Linked DNA regions of Schizosaccharomyces pombe. The main gene of each other region encodes a partner of the protein of the gene in region 2 in a complex. Each region holds a gene or a part of one and is shown on either strand. Other genes may lie near its edges.

Evidence for each region. The genes of interacting proteins can lie anywhere in the genome.
Region 1: SPOM_SPBC3H7.04 (region 2) and rsm18 share a complex: the UniProt entries of both Schizosaccharomyces pombe proteins name them as parts of the mitochondrial small ribosomal subunit.
Region 3: SPOM_SPBC3H7.04 (region 2) and mrp4 share a complex: the UniProt entries of both Schizosaccharomyces pombe proteins name them as parts of the mitochondrial small ribosomal subunit.

What each region holds. Positions count from the first base shown.
Region 1 is NC_003421.2:722,870-727,292, reverse strand, and holds rsm18 (mitochondrial 37S ribosomal protein bS18m), read right to left. Parts: upstream 1,304-4,423; 5' UTR 1,284-1,303; coding exon 783-1,283; 3' UTR 501-782; downstream 1-500. Other genes in the region: SPOM_SPCC18B5.05C (phosphomethylpyrimidine kinase), read left to right, coding at 1-263; protein kinase Wee1, read right to left, coding at 2,426-4,423. UniProt on the Schizosaccharomyces pombe protein: Component of the mitochondrial ribosome (mitoribosome), a dedicated translation machinery responsible for the synthesis of mitochondrial genome-encoded proteins, including at least some of the essential transmembrane subunits of the mitochondrial respiratory chain.
Region 2 is NC_003423.3:1,873,688-1,878,291, reverse strand, and holds SPOM_SPBC3H7.04 (mitochondrial 37S ribosomal protein mS42), read left to right. Parts: upstream 1-1,510; 5' UTR 1,511-1,732; coding exon 1,733-2,395; 3' UTR 2,396-2,638; downstream 2,639-4,604. Other genes in the region: SPOM_SPBC3H7.05C (uncharacterized protein), read right to left, coding at 2,760-3,833. UniProt on the Schizosaccharomyces pombe protein: Component of the mitochondrial ribosome (mitoribosome), a dedicated translation machinery responsible for the synthesis of mitochondrial genome-encoded proteins, including at least some of the essential transmembrane subunits of the mitochondrial respiratory chain.
Region 3 is NC_003424.3:3,064,826-3,069,263, reverse strand, and holds mrp4 (mitochondrial 37S ribosomal protein uS2m), read left to right. Parts: upstream 1-2,997; 5' UTR 2,998-3,054; coding exon 3,055-3,846; 3' UTR 3,847-3,938; downstream 3,939-4,438. Other genes in the region: sgd1 (ribosome small subunit biogenesis protein), read right to left, coding at 210-482, 530-850, 894-2,557, 2,607-2,676; SPOM_SPAC24C9.09 (threonine--tRNA (Thr) ligase), read right to left, coding at 4,073-4,438. UniProt on the Schizosaccharomyces pombe protein: Component of the mitochondrial ribosome (mitoribosome), a dedicated translation machinery responsible for the synthesis of mitochondrial genome-encoded proteins, including at least some of the essential transmembrane subunits of the mitochondrial respiratory chain.

The DNA.
Region 1 (4,423 bases), on a different chromosome or scaffold from region 2:
GTTGCTCTCTTACAGCTGCCATTGCATCGAATCTGGCTTGTAATATACCACCTTTGCAAGCCATTCACGAAGCTTTATATTCAATCGAGTGGGCCATTCAAAGGGTTCATAAAAAGAGTTCAGATCCCTATAAGAGTGCTCAGCTATTTACAGCTTTAGGTCATTCTTCTAAGTTCTCAGGATCTCTAATTTCGTTAAAGTCGGAGAATTACATACCACAAGCTGATTTAACTTCTGTTCTTTTATCTCATATACCTTCATGAAAAGCCCTATTGCATATATTTTGAACTAGCTCCATGATGCACTCATCGTTTTAATATCGTTCTATAAAACCCAATTCTTTTCTAGATGGATTTTTTCTTCTTTTGCATATAATTATTTGTTCTTCCCTCTCTGTCCTCTTTAGATAAGTAAAATAACTACTACTAGATAATTTTTTTAATACATTGTATCGACTAACGCTCCTCCTACAAAAAAGTTCAATCAAGCTAAATTAAAAATTAAAGATAACAAAGATATTATATTTTTAAAGCCATTAAAAAATGTTAGCCACTAATATTAGCAGCGGTTTATGATTTTGTGTCATGTATATTTTAATCCAAAAAAGACTATTCAAAACCAAAGTACACCTGAAATATTAATTAACGTGAGCTAATCATTTAAAAAGTAAAGTAGATCGTTTATCGTTCCTTAAGAAAAAAAAAGTAAGGGACAGTGGGTAAGTATATCTACCAATGTGATGAAATGAGATATAGAACGTCCTTGTTAATATTCAGTACAATTTAATTTTCCGAATAAACTGATTTGTATTTCGTCGGCATTATACCAGCAGCTCGAGCCCTTCGGATAGCCCTAGAAAGAAGTCGTTGATTTTTTGCTGTTAGGCCAGTATCACCTCTGGGTTTAATACGACCAAGTTCAGTAACGAATCTTGACAATATTACGGGGTTTTTCCAATAATTCATAGGGTTTTCGTTCACCGTCTTAAAGCAATCTTCTCTTACTGGTTCATAGAATTTGGCTTGATTTTTCGCCTTTACCGTTTCAAACAGTAAATCATTGGGAGAGTAAATATCACCTTCTTCTACGGAGGCTGATAAATATGATGGAATATTTGAGCGAACTCTTCTCTGAAATCCTACATTTGAAGATGCTTCAGAATTTCTCTCATTAAATTTTCGATTGTCCGAAAACCCTCTTCGCGTAGAGTTATTAGATTGTATGAGATTGCATAAAATAAATCCTCTGTTTGGAGCTGGAGAAAATATTCGTCTCCCAAGCATTTTTCTCCCGTGCTGTTGTCAAAGTAATATTTCAATGTTTGAAGGTGTTTAGTGAAATAATGAGACACTCGTTAAATAGTTTATAGCTTATGCTTGTGTCTGATAAATGAAAACGTGATGATACCTGAATTTTCTAACTTTTCTGTTTCAAAATAAATGTTTATTTAGATATGAAGTGTTAAACGGGTCATTAAAATCCTATACTAATTTGAAGGCATCACAAACTTGAGCATATACACAGCTTTCACAAGCATAAAAAAAAAGGGAAATTAAAAATTACAGAAGTGGAACTAAGCATAACGTTAACATTATTACTAATTATTATATGATATGATAATAATAAAAAATCTAACGGGTTATTAAACTTCGTTAGTAAATCGTGGCATTTTCCATAAACATAACCAATTATTTGCCATTCAGCAAGATCGTAAACTATGTACAAGAATAATAGGCAGTGTCATCGATCGATCTAAATTATTATGAAAACAGAAGTCAAAAAAAAGTGGATAAACAGTCGGGATTCGAACTTTATGCTAGCAAAGATGAGTAAATGCAACATATCAAGTCGATAACAAACGAGTGACATAAGAAATTAGACAATAAAATAGATGAAAAATAGGAATAATAACTCCTCTGAAGCCGAGTCTACATGTTAGAGAAAGGATTTGCGATATAAAAAACAATCGTTCACTAACATTTTTTCAGTAGACAAAGCACGTACAGTATGTGCGGCGTCAAGGCTTTAAATTAAGGAAACATTCTAGTTCCCCATATCAAGAACTGAATGGCATGTTTCCATAGCCATCATCATATTGCCTCAGATATAATTAACCGGATATTTGACTGAAGAAAACCAAATAGATAATCCGGTGAAAAGGCAAAAAATTAAATAGAAAAACTATCATCTAATAATTTTTTAAAATTTTTTAAAATTTAAGGGTTCGGTTAAAACGGACACGTATCCTTAAATAAAAAAAAAGCATTTAATGAACCAAAATTAATTATAAGCACCAATCACTAAACTTTTCGTTTAAAAATAATTAAAGTGTTTGCTTTTATGAAGCTAAACAGATTTTGGAAGCCATTCCCTTATTTCGCAATTTCGCAGTAATAAACATTGAGAACAAGAGTCTCTAAAAGGTTTAAACATTCACCTGCCAATCTTCCATCATTTGATCACCCTGGGGGTTAGAAGAAGATCCATGAATACCTTCATAAATTATGGCTCCGGCTTTTCTACGCATTTCAACCCAGCAAACCTCATCAGTTGCCAAAATTTGATCTATGGTAGGTCGGTTCCTAGGCTCTGGAGATAGCATCCACTCTACAACGCGATCAAGTCCCCCTTGGCCTATTATACTATTAGCCGGTGTTTCACGAGAAGAAGAAGTAAGAGATGAACCGTTGTCTGTTGAAGAAAGTCGAGGAGCATCTGATAAGTCACCGGAACGTAATTTCTGCCAAGACTGACCGTTATCAGGAAGAACAATGTTAGCAGCAGCTTCGAAGACTGTGATACCCAAACTGAAAATATCAGCAGGTTTATCATACAAATGGTTAGCAAGAACCTCAGGCGCAATGTATTCACAATCACCTTCTCTTTCCATGCCTCTCGGAACAGGCCAAACACTGGCCATTCCAAAATCACCAATCTTCAAGGTACCCTCGAATGTTATCATAACATTAGCAGGCTTTAAATCCAAATGAACATAATTTTTATGATGAATAAACTGTAGCCCAAGAGCTACTTCTACTAATATTTTCCATACCCTAAATTCATCGAGCCTTGAAAGTTGTCCTTGCTCTTCAAGAAAACGATCCAAACTACCATTTTCACACAATTCGACTTGCATATAAAGAAACCCCCCATGTTCCCATGAGTCCATAAGCTCTACAATGTGATCATGGCCTTTAAGGGCTCGTTGAATAGAGACTTCCTGAAGTAGTCGATTACGTTCTTTTGGTCCACTAAACTTTACCTTGAGCTTTTTCACTGCATACTTTAAAGTTTTTTCCACAGGGTCTTCAACTTGAAAAACCTCACTAAACTCTCCACTTCCTAGTAAAGTAACATTTCTAAACCGTGTAAGCAAATGTGAAGTAGATGATGATACTTTGGACGAGGTGAGAGCAGAAGGAAAGGATAATGTAAAGCTTGAAGAAGAGGGTTGAGATACATCAGCTTCTTCCTCCATGGCAAATGACATTTGATTATTATTTCTCGATTTGATAGGCGAAGGTTGCCGACCGTCCATGTGAATGGAAACAGTATTTTCAAACGCAAATGGGTTACGAGTAGGCGTAGCGGGACACCTCTGATTAGATAGAAATGGTAATCCATAGTTGTGAGAAGTTTTTACAGCAGAAGGAGGAGGATCGAACCTCAAAAAGTCCATGGAACTTTTCTCCAACTGAATAGTAGGAATGGAATTGTGATTTGTAGGAGTGTTTTCCCGTTGAATAAAATAAGAGTCGGTTTGTGTATTGGAAGGAGTCGAGGGTGATGGAGGCGAATCTGTGGAGGAAGAATGTGGACGAACAAAGGTAGAGGGTTTTGAAGGAGTACTAGGAGGGAGAGGTGTAAAGTTAATATTCTTTCGCGGACGATGTTGCTTGGATAAAAGACCTGTACTCATAAAAACTTGGGAAGGAGGTTTGATTTGTTGAAAGGGAGTAGTTAACAACTCAGATGAGGGTGGGTTAGGTAGAGTAGCATTGGGGAAAAGGGAGAATGAATTAGAAGAGGAGTTAACCATACTGTTATCAGAAAAGAGGGAAGATTCATTTTGTTGGGTTTGAGGATGTGAGCGATTAGAAGGGATGAAACTTTTCATCATAAATGATGCATCCTTAGAGCTATTTCGTGAATGGTTGTTAGATACGGCAGACTTAGTTTGGCTGGAGGCAAACCCAAGCTTGCGTGCAGTAAGTGGACGAGCGGTAGGAGAAAACAAAGAGGATTGAGCGGAGTTAGAAGGGAAATGATTAGAGGTAGTGTGTCGAGAGGATGGTATGGACGAAAAAAGGGTAGAAGGATTAGCATTATTTGAATTAGGAGGAGCGGGTGTGGAAGTCGATAAAAAATTAGGCGATGAAGTTGCAAAAGGAGAGAAGGAGCCCGATGCAAATGGAGAGATGTG
Region 2 (4,604 bases):
TTGTTATATATCTTTTGAGCGCACATCAAATAAATTAAACGGATTGGTAATTACAAAACAGACATGCTGAGTTTGTGTAAAAATCATCGCTAATTCTAGGTGGTATATTTAATCTATCCTATAGAAGAAATTACCTTTACTCGTTAGTAATGTCTCGTACCATTGACACAGTCTAATACATTAGCAATTAAAAAAGACTGTGGCATGGCCTGTAAAAAATACGCATCTAGCTCTTATTTTGGATAAAAATAAATAAATATGTGACTTACTGAAAAAATTGTACCAGGGTCAGATGAAACGTTGAAAATTATTCGCTTATAGCCCTGATCACTAATGGCATGTAATCCAAAACTAGTGGATAGTGAAACAATCTTCTATTTTAACTATAACCAGATAATATTAAATTTAAAAAAAGTATCCGTAATCCATAAATCACTTGTTACTGTTGTGTAGAGCCTGAAATTGCAACAAGACCGGGCTTGGCAGCATGTATGCATACTTGGGTTATTCCGTCTAAGTTTCAGCAGTTCTTCCTTAATATAGTAGTAATCTTTTTGTCTCAAATCCCATATTTCTTCTAGCTCAGCCCCAATGGTAGGTATTCTTCAAAAACATTTGTATGCAGCTAGTTATTCCCTATTTCGCTTGTAAGCATATGAAACAATCCCAGTAGCCTCGGCTAAAAATAACCTTAAACTTTTTTTTATTGCCAAAGCAGCTTTTTGAACGATGAAAGAAATGAAGCTTCGAAAAAAATGCAGTGCACTTACAATTTTAGTTAACTAAAACTAAAAATAAATGGTAGATGTTTCCAATCCATGAACGGTGTTATGAACCTGTATCAATTCCTAATTAATCGTTAGCGTATGGTTTCATAAACGATTAATCACGAATGTTTAGATCAAATTTGAGTAAGCTTTTGAACAATTAGGCTGCAATCTAAACGGTTACATAAAAAATTTGAGGGTCTCTTGAATTACTGAGACAAAAAAAAAAATCGGGCTGTTGTGGGAATCGAACCCACGACCACCATCACCCTAAGATGGTATCATACCACTAGACCAAACGGCCACAATTGTCATTTATAAACGTTTAACATATTTACAGTTCTTTCACATAAAAGTTGTGATCATTCGAATATTAAAGTTATTTTTCTTCTTCTCAAGTCAATGAATCTTCTTATAAAAGACGAAGTAAATTTGATTGAAAATGAGTCATACAGCTTACTTTTAAATTGAATCATGGTCATATTGGGAATAAAGGCTTTTATAATCCACCGTTTAAACCCGTTGAACGCTTTAAGATTACTTTCACAATTTTTTTTGGGAAACTTGTTAACAAATTCATTGTAATACTAGTTAAGTTTCAACGAAGTTTTAGATTTCTGTTAATTCAACTTCAAAAATTTATATAGTGGTATAATGGTATATATCGCAACAAGGAATGCAGAACTTTCATACCGATATTTTACTTGCGCCAGTAGGGCTGCTTACCTCTCTCTGAGCGGTCTGAGTGGAACGCCTTTACCAATATTGAAGTTGAAATATTTCAAACATTCAAAAACGTAGCATCTACACTATTTGATTTTCATATTTTGTTAATACTTAATGAATTAATTATACAGTTTGGTCGTCTTTGCCAATTTCTTAGGATTACAAAATTTAAACCCGCATACTTGATTTCCATTGCAGTTTTTTATACCCATTCCCTAACTATTACCTCAATTTAACAAATGAGTTTTCAACAGCGCTTCGCCAGAGCGTTGGACGTGGGCTACAAGAATTTTTTGTCAAAAGATGCGGTCAGGAATATCTTTGCTTATGACAACCACTTACGAGGCCTAGTACAAAAAGAATGTAAAATTCATCAAACTCCGTATCGTGTGCCTTCAGATTTAATGGTTCAAAGCGCTAGTGACCCAGCCCGCGCTAATTTATTCAATTACTCTAGCCAATTGGTAAATCATGATTTTTTCTTTTCCGGCCTTATTTCTCCAGAACGGCCCTCTGCAGATGCAGATTTAGGAGCTATCAACCTAAAGCCTGGAATTGATGCATCCTTCGGTTCATTTGGTGAGTTGAAGTCTCAAATGGTTGACGTTGGCAATTCAGTTTTTGGTGATGGTTGGCTGTGGTTGGTATATAGTCCAGAAAAATCTTTATTTTCCTTATTATGCACGTACAATGCGTCAAATGCCTTTCTTTGGGGAACAGGATTTCCTAAGTTTCGTACCAATGCAATTGTACCGCTTTTATGCGTTAACCTTTGGCAATATGCGTATCTTGACGACTATGGTTTAAATGGTAAAAAAATGTACATTACAAAATGGTGGGATATGATCAATTGGACGGTCGTCAACAATAGATTCCAAGCTACGCGCATTGAATCCCTTTAGCTAACCCGACTGAATCCTGCACAATTTTCAATCTTTTTCTACTTCTCTCCCCTCCTCTCCCGGCTACGTTTTGTATGCAAGTGATCATGGTGGCTTACTATGGGTTCACTTTATCTGATTGAAAAAACCCATACTATTAACAAATCTTATAAATAAATAAAGTTTTGTAATTACTGTTGGCAAAGAATGAGAATTAGAATGCTAAATGTAATGTTTCCCTCTATATATTATTTAACATTCCAACAATATCTACGGAAAAGTTAATTTAGTTGAACCATCCATTAAATGTATAAACTAGGACACATAGCAATTATCTGATACTTTAGAGGTTTCGGAAGGTCAAACATAGACATTAAACAGTAAATTAAATTTGCGAGCATGTTTTCCACTTAAATTTTAATAATACGACTCCCATACCATATGTTCCATTAATAAGCATTTCGATTATTAGGACCCAATAATGATATTTGCGCAAGAGGGGAATCCTTTTTTCAAGATTAATAAGGAAAGGTTGAATTAAAAGCTGAAAAAAGAAAGCAGGTGAACAGCGTCCAGAAATTGACCAATAGGCAAAGTCATGGAATAATGCTGAAAGGAAAAAACATGAACAACTTGCCAGAAACTTACTTCCAGTGAGGGCAATAGTTGGATCCCAAGCAATCACTCTGAAATAGGGCTTGGTACAAACATGCCAATCTCTGGACCAAAAATCATTAACCGAGGTGGTTTTAGATACATTTCCCATCATTAATGGATACTCTGCAATATCCCAAATTCCCAGAGGAACAAAAATAATGGCGAATAAATAGTACAAGGCATTAATAAACAAATATGAAAAGAATCCAGAGGTTACGCAAAATGCGACTTGAATATACCATGGGTTGGCTGATATAGGAAGCAACATCCAATTGGATAAACGAGTTTTAAAACAATTGACAAAACAAAATGCACCCACATAGACAGCAGTACGTATCCCCAAAGATTTGTAAGTCAGCACTTTTCTACAGTAAGGGGGAACCACGTCGTCAGTCCAACCATACTTGCGCAAAGAAAGTGCATAATCAACAAAGTTCCACCTAGCGTTACGAATGAATGGTCGACGACGCTTAACAGCGCTGATTTGTACAGGATCGTTGCGAGAAGGTACCATATCTCGCCAACTCAAAAAGCAAGTTCGAAGCGACATCATAATGAGAAAGCCATATGCCAAACCAAATGTAGAGACATCCTTATAACCAACATGGTGATAGACAGCACACATGCGATACGCCAGTATAACCGTGATGGAACATAACAAAGTGCAGGCGATTTTCCACCGGCGAAAAAAACAAAAGGTTTCGACAAGGTATGTAGCTAAAGGGAATAGATTGAACAGAAGGATGTTATAAATACCTGTGACTGGAAGTTTGGAAGAAGGATCGAAAGAAAATGGATACATGAAAGTAATTGAATTTTAGATCGTGTTCGTAGATGATCAAACGCCGAAAACTTTATAGTGGAGGAATAGGAAAGGAAGAAAAGCAAAAAAGTAAGAAAGAAAATTCGCAGTTAAAACAAAAGTGAAGAAAAAGAACAGATAGGGTAAGACAATACAAGCAACACTAGACGAGACAAGACAAGACAAGGCGAAACAATAAGAAAAGGCAAACCACACTCTATATAACTATGAGACTTTATTTACAATCAATCAGTCAACCGACAAAAATATGAAAAAAAGACAATAATGATAAAAGAAAATGACAAAATGCTTATTGAAAGAAACAAAGAACAACGATGATGATGATGATGATGATGAAGGCAAAGAAAAAAAAGTGTTATAATATAGTTGTTAACAAAAATAAATCAGACACTGTGGAATTACAAATAAATCAGTAATACTTGCTAATTGCATGAAAAGGAAAATAGCATCCCGTAATCTTCAATTGCCCTTCAATCAATCCACGATTTTTTAAATCTGGAAATTTTCGCACAACAGATTTCAGGTACAAGGTAGTCAACCCAACAAGAAAAAATCGTCTCTTAAGATCGATTTCTGCCTGAAAATACCGGTTTTCTCGACACCTGGATCTGTAAACAAAACCCCCAAGTTAGGGTCGCCAGAAAAAAATGGGGTGGTTAGGAATATTACAAACCACCAACGCAAACGACAAATAGAGAGCAAGAGCCCAACAAATTTTGACCACCGAGGATTTAATATGAAAATCGGTAA
Region 3 (4,438 bases), on a different chromosome or scaffold from region 2:
TAGTATATGTTCAATGTTGCAATATTATAGTTTATGTTTAGACAATGTCAAGCATAAATAAGCTTAATAATGATAACCAACTTACTGAAGGTGTATATATGTGTCAGTTTTCAAACCAAAACCTTTTTATTTATAACCGTAACCCTAAGTTTTTATGAATAGTATAGTATACGATATACTATATATGTACATAAGAAAATGATGAAAACTCAAATTTCTTCTTTGGAAATGCTCTGTAAAATGGCGCTAGCCATCGCAAGATTAGACTTGAACAGAGCTTTTTTAGAATTATCCACTAAAGGATTTTTCCGAACATAAGTTTTTAAGAACCAATCCACTTTCGATGAAAGGTTTTTCTCTGCTTTGCAGTTTTCAAATATTTTTACGAGTTGTAAATCGTCTTTAACTCCCAAAATTATATCGGTAAAAAAGACCAGTAAAAACGTTTGCATTTGGGCATTAATGGCCATAAAATCCACATGCTAAAATTGAGTTAGTAATTACAATCAAATTTTTAGAATATACGTACTTTGAGGATAGTTAAGGGCTGTGCAGCTTCAATGACTAAAGACGCATAAAGCTTCGCCAAGTTAACTATGCGTCTCATGGATATTTCTCTTTCTTCACTATCATCATCTGGTTGTAGTTCATTAAAGAAATCCCAAAGAGAGAATTGAAATGACTTTTTCAAATTGTGCTGCAATGTACAACATTTTAACGCTACCAAACCATAAAACGGGTTATACAATTTCTCATTACCAACGCAATGCAAAATTACATAAGCTATTTCAGGTAATTGATTCCTTTTGAGATGCAACTTCAGCACTCTTTCCCATGCATCAATGTAGTCCTAAGTTTGTTAGTTTAAAGTTAATGAAATTTAGAACGAATACCTCTGAACCAACAAGGGCAACGAATATCGAAGTTCGAAGAGTTGAATTCAATCTTAACTTCTTAGCAGCTTGTAAAATTTTTGAATGGGCCGTCAGTTCTTCTGATTTTTTCTTATCCTGTAATGCTTCAGTAGATAATGTGTTGTCACCAGATGGAACATTATTCCAAGAAGCTCCAACAAGCCACCATCGACCTTTCGTCTCAATCTGCTCAATATCTTCTAAAGTAACTCGTAAAGGCTCTCTAGCATTTAATGAGCGGTTGCCTAACGAACCCAAAAATTTCTTTAGCTGATTTACAGCTTCAAATTTAGATTGGGCGCTAGCATTGGCAACTTTTGTTTTTTTGTTTTCTTTAAGATTAGTGATCGATTCTACCATAAACTTTGTACGGACAGATATGGTTGATGGATCAGCTGAAGCTAATAACAAATTCATTTCCGTAACAATATCTTGGAGAGACGTCGGGTCATCTGATCGCAACTGCCCTCCACAATTGAGGACAATTTTGAGCAGCATTTCAACGTTCAATTCGGTTAAAGAGCGTAAAAAAAGGCGAATCAAATCATAAACAAGAACACATGAAACAAGTTGAAAATTATACAACTCAACAAAAAATACAATCAAGTTAGAAGTCTCCTTATGGGAAGAAAGAGGTTCTTTCTCTTTTGATTTATAAAGCTGCAAAAAACGTTCCACTAGGGTTTGCAATAGATGAGCACCAAAGTCATTGCCTACAATGCGGTAAAGAGCAGTGGCTAACGCAGCATATACTATGGCCAATTGATCTAGCATAGATTCTCTTCCCATTACGGTTTGTAGTAGCAAATTGGTGATGGTAGACGTGACTGAGTGTCTTGAATTTTCCATGTAAAGGACTTCAATCTCCTTAATAATTGAAGAAATATTTGCGATAGACAATTTGTTTAGCGATCCTTGTAATTTCCGACGAAGTCGCAGAGCATCTTCTGACTCCTTATCTCCCCCTAATTTTTTCCGTAAAGATGGAGGGACATACTTTGAGCCGACGTTCGCATTAGGTAAGGATGGGACTGCAGGCTTCAAAGGATCCATCCGAATCGGCTTAGTTTCAGGTTGATGGAATTCATCAGAATTAGACTCAAACCCATGAAACTCTTCCTCCTCCTCACCCGAATTTCCTTCCCTTTCACTTTCCAACTCATCAACGCTACCATGGTCACCTGTATCGTCTGAAACTTCAGAGTCTTCTGAATGACCATATGAAGGATCTTCAGTGCCCGGAACGCCTATGTCATCAATTTCTTGATCTAGGTCTTCTAAAAGCCATCCAAATTCCTTGTCAATTTTTGAGTGAGCAGATTTATCTTTGCTTTTGATGCCAAGCATCTTTTCTAAATGAGCGATTTCACGATCATCCTCTTCCAAAGCAATCTTATGCTGAAAAGCAATGGGATCGAGTAATTTACTCTCCTTTGCCTGTTTATTCTGTGAAGATTTTTTTTTTGTAGATGACTTTCTGTGAGCATCTAAGTAATCATCATTAAGTTCAGAAGACTTACTATCACCTTCTTCTGTAATCTTCCGGTTTTCATAACCATTTTTTCCTCGAGAGATCCTAGCAAATTTTCTTTTTTCACGATGAGGTAGATTATGATTTCGCTTTCCCCGCCTAGCACTCGAATCTATCAATTTGGTTAAATATACTGACCAAATCTATAAAAAAAAGCTTACCAGATTCTCCTATCTCTTCTAAAATACTTTTGGGCAGTTTTAAGCTTCTGCTTTTTTTAATTGGCCTCATACTATCGAATGTTTAAATATTAAACAAACGATAATTAATACTAAAGCTCAAGAACTACCAAATTTTTCAATTAAACGATACCAAAAACTGGTATAATTGCTTTACAAAGAGAAGAATTGGGCCTCAGTCTCGAGTTGGCGTATCGTTTCAAATGAATTTCACAACACTGCTAATGGAACTGTATACAATATCGCAATTTGTTAATGCTATTTAAAGTTGTCACTCTGCTGCTGTATTTTACATTAACGCTCTATGTAGTATCACACTAATAAAGCATATCGAAGTGGAAATGTTGCAATCGTGCAGCGATTTCAAAGTCTTAAAGTACTACTACACCAAACGGGCTTTCATTTTGCTCGAGTCATTCGTGTCTGTATTATGCTTTCACGGAAATTATCACCGGAGCAACTTGTAGCTCGTCGTTTAAAAATACGTGACTGGAATCACAAAATAGGTGCAGTTGTAGCTCCCCATTATTCACCGACATTATCCATTCGAAATCCGGCACCTCCTAGTCAACTTAGTCTTCCTTTATTGTTGTCTTCTGGTGCTCATTTAGGACACTCTACATCCATATGGAATCCTTACACGCAGCCCTTTATATATGGTAAAAGAGAAGGTATTCACATAATATCATTGGATCAAACCATGGTTTACCTACGAAGAGCTATATCCGTCGTTAGATCAATAGCTAAAGAAAATGGAATTATATTGTTCATTGGCACCAGAAACGGCCAGAAAGATTCTGTCGTTGCTGCTGCCAAACGTGCTAGAGGTTATCACATATTTGATCGTTGGCTACCAGGACTTCTCACCAATGCCAGAGAAGTACAAGGAAAGCTTGGCGGTTCAATTTTATGTAAAGATAATAGAGGGAAATTGATTCAAACTGATAAAAAACCAAGTTATGTCTTTCCTGATTTGATGGTTATACTAAACCCATTAGAAAACAAAAGTGCTTGTCTAGAGGCACAGAAAACTCATGTTCCAACAATTGGAATCATTGATACTGATGCGGATCCAAGGATGGTTACCTATCCTATTCCAGCAAATGATGATTCTTTACGGTGTACAGATTTAATAGCTGGTTTACTGAGTAGGGTAGCTGAGCAAGAGTACCAAAAAGCTAACCAAGCCTTCGAAAAAGATAAATTTACACTTCCTTTATGATTCCCCTCTCATTGTTTTGAAAATGCCTGTATTCTTTGATTTTTCTAAACATGATTAAAGATAAGGTCTGATTAATTTTCACTAGTATTCAATAAAATTAATGATTCGTAAACGAAAGGTTAAAAAGAAAGAATAAATTATTATGGATAACGTATATATCACATTTCAATGATTTGATGCCAAAATTTTTGTTAAAGACAGACATATTTTGCTGTGCGAAAGGAAATCATCGGTATGCTTTCACATTTTCTATAAACTCTTTTTTCAATTGTTGAATAGTCATCTTTCTAGTATCCCTTGAATTATGATTGTGTCTACTAGATACACTGAGAATTTCTTTGTCAACTTCGTCTTCTCCAATGACAATTTCATAATTATAATTTAAAAGTCTTGATTCACGTAGCCGTTTGCCAATAGATTGTGCTTCAGCGTTTATGTCCACATAATAGGTATTTTTATTGAGTGGGAGAAATTCAGATTCATTGACTTCCTGATTAGACAATTCCTTTTGTACTTGCTTAGCATAAGTTAGAATTCGATCTGTTTGATTGACTGGTAAAATGACAGCATGTCTAGGACTTAGCCAAAATGG